2 linked regions of the Sus scrofa genome follow. The protein of the gene in region 2 interacts with the protein of the main gene of each other region in a pairwise test. Links are inferred from orthologs where the notes say so. Each region holds a gene or a part of one and is shown on either strand. Other genes may lie near its edges.

What was found. The genes of interacting proteins can lie anywhere in the genome.
Region 1: the proteins of BOLL (region 2) and SERF2 interact in a two-hybrid assay, tested with the Homo sapiens proteins (2 studies listed by BioGRID and IntAct). The two-hybrid records come from large-scale screens. The link is inferred for Sus scrofa from reciprocal best matches to the Homo sapiens genes BOLL and SERF2.

What each region holds. Positions count from the first base shown.
Region 1 is NC_010443.5:127,764,992-127,769,510, reverse strand, and holds SERF2 (small EDRK-rich factor 2), read left to right. Parts: upstream 1-1,992; 5' UTR 1,993-2,054; coding exon 2,055-2,061; intron 2,062-2,678; coding exon 2,679-2,787; intron 2,788-3,409; coding exon 3,410-3,473; 3' UTR 3,474-3,751; downstream 3,752-4,519. UniProt on the Homo sapiens protein: Positive regulator of amyloid protein aggregation and proteotoxicity. Induces conformational changes in amyloid proteins, such as HTT, driving them into compact formations preceding the formation of aggregates.
Region 2 is NC_010457.5:101,595,213-101,599,517, forward strand, and holds part of BOLL (protein boule-like), read right to left. Parts: intron 2,188-4,305; coding exon 2,044-2,187; intron 1-2,043. UniProt on the Homo sapiens protein: Probable RNA-binding protein, which may be required during spermatogenesis. May act by binding to the 3'-UTR of mRNAs and regulating their translation.

The DNA of each region.
Region 1 (4,519 bases), on a different chromosome or scaffold from region 2:
AAATGTCATTTTCTGTTTCTTTTCTTTTTGGCTGCACCTGCAGCATTGAGAAGTTCCTGGGCCGGGATGGAACTAGCACCACAGCAGTGACCTGAGCCACAGCAATAAAAACTCTGGATCCTTAACTCCCTTCATCACCAGGGAAATCTTCATTGTATTTATCTATTTATTTTTTCATTTATTTAATTTGGAAGTTCCCAGTTAGGGGTCATATTGGAGCTACAGCTGCCAGCCTACACCACAGCCACAGCAACAAAGGATCTTAGCTGGGAGCTGCGTCTGTGACCTACACCACAGCTCACAGCAACAAAGGATCTTAGCTGGGAGCTGCGTCTGTGACCTACACCACAGCTCACAGCAAAGCTGGATCCTTAATCCACTGAGCGAGGCCAGGAAATGAACCTGCATCCTCATGGATAGTAGTTGGATTGTTTCTGTTGCCACAATGGGAACTCCACATTGCATGTATGTATTTATTTTAGTGATTTTTATTTTTTCCATTATAGCTGGTTTACAGTGTTCTGTCAATTTTCTACTGCACAGCAAGGTGACCCAGTCACACATATACATATACATTTCTTTTTCTCACATTACCATGCTCCATCATAAGTGATTTGATATAGTTCCCAGTGCTATACAGCAGGATCCCATTGCCTATCCATTTCAAAGGCAATAGTTTGCATTGTATTTATTTTTATAGTTACTTCATGTTTGTGGGCAAGCAGTAACTGATTTTAAATTTACTAAAGGAATATTAAGTTTGGGCTGTATTCTTCACTTAAAACTGATATAATTTTTTTTTTTTTTGGCCACGCCCCAGGCATGTGGAAGTTTCTTGGCCAGGGATCTAACCTGCCTGTGCCACAGCAGCTCCAAGGCAGATCCTTGAACTACTGTGCCACTAGGGGGCTTCCGAAAAATTTTAACAAGAAGTAGTAGTGATTACTTGGATATGGCAAAAATCATGAGAATTTCCTGAATGTGGTTTATTGCATGCCCATTAGCGCTACGTTGAGACAGAAGCAAGTTTGAAGTTCTAGCCTCAAGTCAGTTCTGCTATGGGCATTAGCTAGAGAAAATCACAACCAATCCCTTCCTGTGAGATTTCCTAAGCATTTCTCCTTTATCCAGTGAATTCCCCAGGATAGGTAGGGAGTCGTAGACAGATTAGCAGTGCTGGGAATGAGAATTCAGCGGGAAGTCTAATCTTCCCGCCCTATTCAACTACCAATTACAAGCCAGGTATGGCTGGTGGAGATAGTAGTAGAGAAAGCTAGAGGGAGAAATGGACATAGCATGTGCATTTCCCAATCTCTCAGTCTGTGACTTTGGAGTCCTTCAATACTTGCAAGCAACATATTTAAAGCTTCCGTGGCGATAAGAGTAGGATCAAATTTTAGGACCTACAGGATGTGGTTGCTTATTTCCATATTGGAGGAGTTTGGATGGGGGAACAATGGGGTTGGAAGGGAGTTTCTGAAGTTGCGTCTGTACGTGATTTTACAGCGTACGTGAATTCAGGTGTCCTCATGAGTGGCTCGGTAGCGGTGGGGAATCCTAACCACAGAGTTTAGCCCCAGAGTCTTGCGAAAAGAACCTGGGGGACCATTTCCGCCGCCGAGATGCCCCGCCCTCCGTCCCTCCAAGGTTTCCTATGGGCGAGTTTGTCTCCCAAACCTTCCCCGCATGAGGTCACTCTGCCAGGTCACGTGCTCAAGCCCGCGGGAGCGCCACATCGCCAGCCGCACCCCTCCACCCCCACCCTGCCCACGTGACCCGGCCTACTTTCTCCCCACCCGACCCAACGACTTGCTCGGGAAGCCCCGCCCCACGCCGTGCGCTCTGCCTACGAACCTCCGCCTCTCAGCCGTCCGGGCTCAAGCGTGGCCCGTGGCCCCACGTGTTTACTCCTGTCCAATGGGAGTCGGAGTCCGGGAGCGAAGGGGCGGGGAGGAAAAGACGACTTCTTTACGCTGCGAGAAAGGGGCGGGGCTTCCAACGTCGTTCTGAGCGAGGGGACGCAACGGAGGCAGGCCGGAGCCGCTGCCGTCGCCATGACCCGTGAGCACCGAATCCCCCTTCTCTTGCCCCTTTCTCCTCTTCACCCTGCACAAGACTGCCAAATCTCGGCACTGACCTCCTTTTGGCTTCGCCAGCGAGACCCTTCTCTGGGAGAGGTCTATAGCGACCCTCACCCTAGCAGCCCGGAAATCGACCCTTCGCCCACCGCCACTTTTTGAGAACCTTACCCCCACCGCCCCTTCAGGCAAAACCCTTCCCAGACCTTCCGTGGTGTGGGGAGAAGCCCTGTGCCCCTGTGGTGGACCCCGAGCTCCTCTACTCCAGATCTCTGCCCATCCCCCACAGAGATCCATACCACGTACACCCACCACCACCACCACCTGTCTGGGCCCCCATGCTGCAACGAAATTCGAAACTTGTCTCTAGCAGGCTTCTCGGGACTGTCGTCCCTCGATTTCCCAGTTTGACCTGCCCCGTGGCAGCTTCCGCACCCCCCCTCCCCGCCCAATCTGCAGTCTAGGCCCTGAAAAACGGTCCCGTGTCGACGCCTGGGGAATGAAGTATTGGACCCTACTGGTGTCCCGGGTCAGGGAACAGGGTTGTCGGTGTGTGGCCAGAAAGGCTCTCGCGTCTCACCTTTTACCTTTTTTCTTTAGGCGGTAACCAGCGCGAGCTCGCCCGCCAGAAGAATATGAAAAAGCAGAGCGACTCGGTTAAGGGAAAGCGCCGAGATGACGGGCTTTCTGCTGCCGCCCGCAAGCAGAGGTAGCCCCAGGGAGGGGAGGGGAGGGTGGGGTGAGACCTGGGTTAGACCAAGGGTTGTACCAGCAAAGAGAACTACCTCAGGGCTTACCATCTGGACTAGTCGTGAGGGGCAGAGTGCATTGTTTGCTCTAGGGTTTTATTCCTCTCACCTTCTAAATTGTTAGCTCACAGCCATATAGGAACGGACTGGGGCTGGTGCTTACTCTCGGTCTGATTTGTGAGTGCCCCCCGGGTCTGACCTTAAGGGCAAGGGCAGGGAACTTCACATTTCAAATGCAGTAGTGGTTATGACAGCCCAGTCCTTTTGGCCCTCCTTGCAGTTCATTTGTCCTCCCTTCTCCCAACCTTTCTCACTGGTGTTGCTGGGTGTGGTACTTGGCACAGAATAGCCTTGGGCCTGTGTGGCCAGACTTCTGACCCCTTGGGCAAAAGCCAGATAGAGACTGATTGCCTTTTGAGCCTCAGCTCTCTTCCTCTTGTTCTCCTAGGGTGGGAATATAGCAGCCACACGCTGAATTTTGTCCCATCCACTTCCATCTTATCCTTTGTGCCCTTCATCCCCCTGCATCTTGTCCTTTTTGCCCTCTGGTACCTCCCAGTGCCCCATCATCTCTACCCCCAGGGACTCGGAGATCATGCAGCAGAAGCAGAAAAAGGCAAACGAGAAGAAGGAGGAACCCAAGTAGCTTTGTGGCTTCGTGTCCAACCCTCTTGCCCTTCGCCTGTGTGCCTGGAGCCAGTCCCACCACGCTCGCGTTTTCTCCTGTAGTGCTCACAGGTCCCAGCACCGATGGCATTCCCTTTGCCCTGAGTCTGCAGCGGGTCCCTTTTGTGCTTCCTTCCCCTCAGGTAGCCTCTCTCCCCCTGGGCCACTCCTGGGGGTGAGGAGGTTACCTCTTCCCAGTGTTTTTTATTCCTGTGGGGCTCACCCCAAAGTATTAAAAGTAGCTTTGTAATTCCTTGAGCGCCTGGTTTGACTGGGGATTTGGGGGGTTGGGGATGGAGGAATGGCTGCCTGCCCTTTCCCACCAAAAGGGGAGACCTTTAGACTCCAAAAGGTTGTGGATATGTAGATTAAGTGAAACGTCAAAGCAAAAATCCTTTATTGTGCTACAACAAACAGACAAATATGTTGGGTACGTGGTAGAGAAATCCTCTCAGAACCGTAGGGACTTCTTTTCTGTGATATCAGTCCCACACTCGGACCTTAAACACCATCTTAAGGATGGGGTTGAGGTCCTAAGAAGGAAGGCTCCAAGACCTAAATGTATGCCCCTCTTCCTTATTCTTCCTCAGTTTGCTCACCTTCTTGAAAGTTGGCCCAGATCCTGCTGCTCATTAACTTCCCATGGCTAGCTGCTCTCAAGTGTTCACATTCTCTTCTGTTCTGTCATTCCTCATGGAATGAGGGTGGTTTTTGTCTTTCCATTTCCTTTGACCTCAGCATCAGGATTAAAACCCAGGGTAGTCTCTGCTCCTTTCTTCCTGTGTCCTGGTTTGTTCTGGGCTTCTTACATCCCTGTACCCAGGGCTGAACTACTTATTTTCCTTTTTATCTTCAAGGGCAGAGCCAACTAAGTCTTCAGTCCCCATTGGTCTTTCCCTGCCCCCATCTCCACCATGAGAGCCAGGAAAGAGCTGGTGCCACACTGTCTGCTGGGATCAGCAGTGGTTCCTGAGCTGCTGACTTAGTTAGGCTCTTGCTGCCGAGTTAGGCTCTTGAGCTGGGGTG
Region 2 (4,305 bases):
TAAAGCCTGCTAAACTGGATGATGACAAACATTAAGTTAATCTAAGAATAACCACCTCTTATTTTGATAAACACAAAATGGAATCTATGTCAGAATAAGGATTTCTATTAGAGACTTGAAAACAAATTCTCAAACTATTCTCTGATAGAAGAATCACTAGTTCAATTTTGTAGCTCCAGTTCTTTGTTGAAAAGTAGACAGAAAGTCAAGATGATTAAATATTAAAAGAGATAGGCTGCAAGATTCTAAAAATAAGAGTTTTTAAAAGTTTGAGACTGCTTGCAACTATGGCAAACTATTTCCTTGCTGGAAATTGTCCACAGTTTGGGGAAAGATATAAGGATAAGTGAGGGAAACCTAGCAGTTACAATGCCCTCCAAAGTTTATACTGTAGCTGATGGGCTTCAGTAACCTACAATAACCTAGCCAAACAAATCACTACATTTGTTGATGATTTATTTAAAAATATAATAAGCTAGTTTAATATAAATCAATTCTGAATAAGAATATTCAACTTGAATATTTATAGTCACCTATTATTATTTTCCATAGAAATAGAAAATCTTTATAAAAATAAACATTTCATGTAGTTCCTGTTGTGGCTCAGTGGGTTAAGAACATGACTAGTATCCATGAGGATGAGGGTTTGATCCCTGGCCTTGCTCAGTGGGTTAAGGATCTGGTGTTGCCACAAGCTGAAGCATAGGTCGCAGACGCAGCTCAGTTCTGGTGCTGCTGTGGCTGTGGTGTGGGCTTGTGGCTGCAGCTCTGATTTGACCCCTAGCCTGGGAACTTCCACCTGCTGTGGGTGCAGCCCTAAAAAAAAAAAAAAAAGACAAAAAAATAAACATTTCATAAGAAATTATTTTACCTTTAGTGAACCAATTACATACTTGCTTAAGACTCATAATTTTGACAAGTATACTAACTATAACATTTCTCTTGAGCAGAAAAAAGTAATTCCATCCAAACTGTGAGAGATTGATCAGAGGAAAATAGCAAGTTAAAAATATCAAAGATTTTTTTTATTAAGTCAATGCTCCCTGAATTTTCTAATATGTGATATGGAAGCTTAGAAATTCTTCTATATATTCACTTAAAACATCCATGCTTGACTTTCCTGTAAGTGTTTATTACCACCTCCCAAATGAGGGTGCTGCAAAACATCTCACAAAATTATACCTCTCTAAGAGTGAAATAGCTAATTATATTATTTAAGCATATTACTGTTAAGATGCTTTATTCTGACTAGGACACTGGCCTTTTTTGATGATTGAATTCTAAATTAGGTGATAGAAAGCAATTTGTGACATAAGTCTAGGAAGTTATTCAAGAACCTGAGATAAAAGCTGGGATAAAGAAACAGGATTTCATAAAAGTTTTTTTTTTGTGTGTGTTTTGGCTTTTCTTTCCTTCGATGAGTGTTCTTTTGAAAATTACAATCACTCATTATTTGGGCTACTGAAGTACTATATAAAAATGTATAACTAGTGTGGTATGGTGAAATAAAGAATGTGCAGCTATGAGTCAGAAAACTAGGATTCTAGTCTTCACTTTGTCACTAATTAGCTAAGAGCCTATAGATATGTCATTGAGCCTCAATTTCCTTGTTTGGGAAGCTGAAAAATTATATATACTCTATTTAACCTACAAGAGTTTTTTTTTTTTTTTTTTTTTTTTTTTTTTCTTCCTGTTTTGGCCGTACCTGCAGCATACAGAGGTTCCCATGCCAGGGATCAGATCTGAGCTGCAGTTGTGACCTATGTGACAGTGGCAGCAACACCAGGTTAACCCACTGTGTCTGGCTGGGGATGAACCTGTGTCCTGGTGCTATAGAGAAGTCACCGATCCCATTGTGTCACAGCAGCCACTTCTGTTTAACACGGTTTTTTAAAAGATTTTTTATATATTAAGACAATTTGAAACCTACTAATCATTATGTGAATAGAAAATGTTTTTATAGTTGCACAAAGAAACAACTTCTGAGAAATAAAATAACTTCTAATACAAAAAATGCACTATGTCGCATGCATAAATAGGTACCTTAAAGTCAATTCCTCCTACAAAGATGCGATTAGGGATCACTGTTCCATATCTTGGGGCACTCGTTGGATTATTCAAAGGCACAGGTGACACAGGGTTGGGGGATGGAGACAAGGAATCTGTTTGCGTATGATTTGATGTTTGCTGTAAGACAAAATTCCTTTAAACTCTTAGAATTGGTTCTAAGTTTTGATGCAGGCTGGAAGCATATACCTTCAAAAACGTAAGTCATTGATAAAATGTAGTATATTAAACTTTACTTTTATTCTAGTATTATGAAAATTATAGTTAGAGCTAATAACTTTTGGGGTCAACAAAAATACAGGAAATATAGAATGTACTCCTCTACAGAAAAGATCTTAAACCTTAAGTATATTATTTAAACATAATAATATATGTTAATTATTAAATATACTACGTAAATATTATAAGTATTAAGGAGGAGGAGTTCCCGTTGTGGTGCAGTGGTTAACGAATCCGACTAGGAACCATGAAGTTGTGGGTTCGGTCCCCGCCCTTGCTCAGTGGGTTAACGATCTGGCGTTGCCGTGAGCTGTGGTGTAGGTCTCAGATGCAGCTCGGATTCCCGTGTTTCTGTGGCTCTTGCGGAGGCCAGTGGCTACAGCTCCAATTCGACCCCTAGTCTGGGAACCTTCATATGCCGTGGGAGCAGCCCAAGAAATGGCAAAAAGACAAAAAAAAAAAAAGTATTAAGGAGGAGTATTAAATTCAAAAAGAAGTTTGATAAGGAGAAAAGCAGCCCCTGGATATCTTAAGAGCTGGCCTGGCACAATCAACTAGGCCCTAGTACTGACTTTTAGGAGTTGGCCTGGAACTCACAGCTAAGCTGTGGTGTTCTCTTGTTAACAGAACACCAACATTGGAAAAGACTACTCTGTAATTATGATGAATCAAGATAAAAACCATACCTTTCCATAATCACATGTGTACATTGACAAAAACAAAAGCATTGTCCAAAAAAACAAGAATGACCAAACATCTTCCTATCCTGGCTGATAATAAGACTGACTGCTCCTTTATCAGTCACAGCTTTGGCTTCAATCTATTCTTCTTGCCTTCTATGTAAAAACTGACATACCAAATCGTAGAACTGCTCCCACTTCCTGACAAGATGTATTTCAGAGGAAAGCCTTCTTCCTTAAACCCTCTCTAAAAAAGTGCTTACATAGCCTAAATCCTATAACAACTTCCTTCTAACACCCTCTTCTTGCAAGGCCCCATGGTATACGTTTTTCCTTGTTGCAACAATTCAAAGACGCAAATTTATTTTATTTATTTTTAATTTTTTTATTTTTTTGCATCTTCTAGGGCCACTCCCGTGGCATATGGAGATTCCCAGGCTAGGGGTTGAATTGGAGCTGTAGCCGCTGGCCTATGCCAGGGCCACAGCAACGTGGGATCCGAGCCACGTCTGCGGCCTACACCACAGCTCACGGCAACACCGGATCCTAATCCACTGAGCAAGGGCAGGGACCAAACCCACAACCCCATGGTTCCTTGTCGGATTTGTTAACCACTGAGCCACGACAGGAACTCCAAAGATCCAAATTTATTAAACTACAGGTGTGTTCACGGTGGTCTTTGGCTAAAGGACACTGACAAGTGAATAGACTGACATTTAAGTTCATTGTTTTTCAACTCTAAAGTCAAAATTGTAAATGCACTTGTCAATTTGAAAAGTTGACAAGTGATTTTGTAAAAAAAAAATTATATACCTATAACTCATATAATTTTTATACCCAAGAATTGAGATCAGTGCATATTTGTAAACTCACAATCCTATGTCAGGTGACTTAATTTAGATTTTAGTAAAAATATACTAACATATAAGCCTCTGCATAAGGGCATGATAGTAGACTCTTAAGGTACATCTGAAAACACACACACACCCTCTACCCCGCCAAAAAAAACCCCAAACTACCAAGACTTGAGAATAGAAAATTGAAGAGAAACCAATTGAAGAACTTGCTAATTATTTTCCTTCTGGGAACACTAAACAGACTTCTGAGACATTCTAATGCACTAAATGAGTGCTTCAAAAAGGTTGAAATTCAGTTTAAATTCTCTGGGAAGCAAATTCATGAAAGTGAATTTCTAAGTTGTTCTTTTTCATGTTTACTCACCTTTCACGTCATTGGCCAATAAAACCATAATCCTTAATCTCTGCAATATGTACATAGAAAGGACTAGATCATTGGTGCCTATGGGGGCTATGGAATGGACTTATGGGCTACTCTCCAC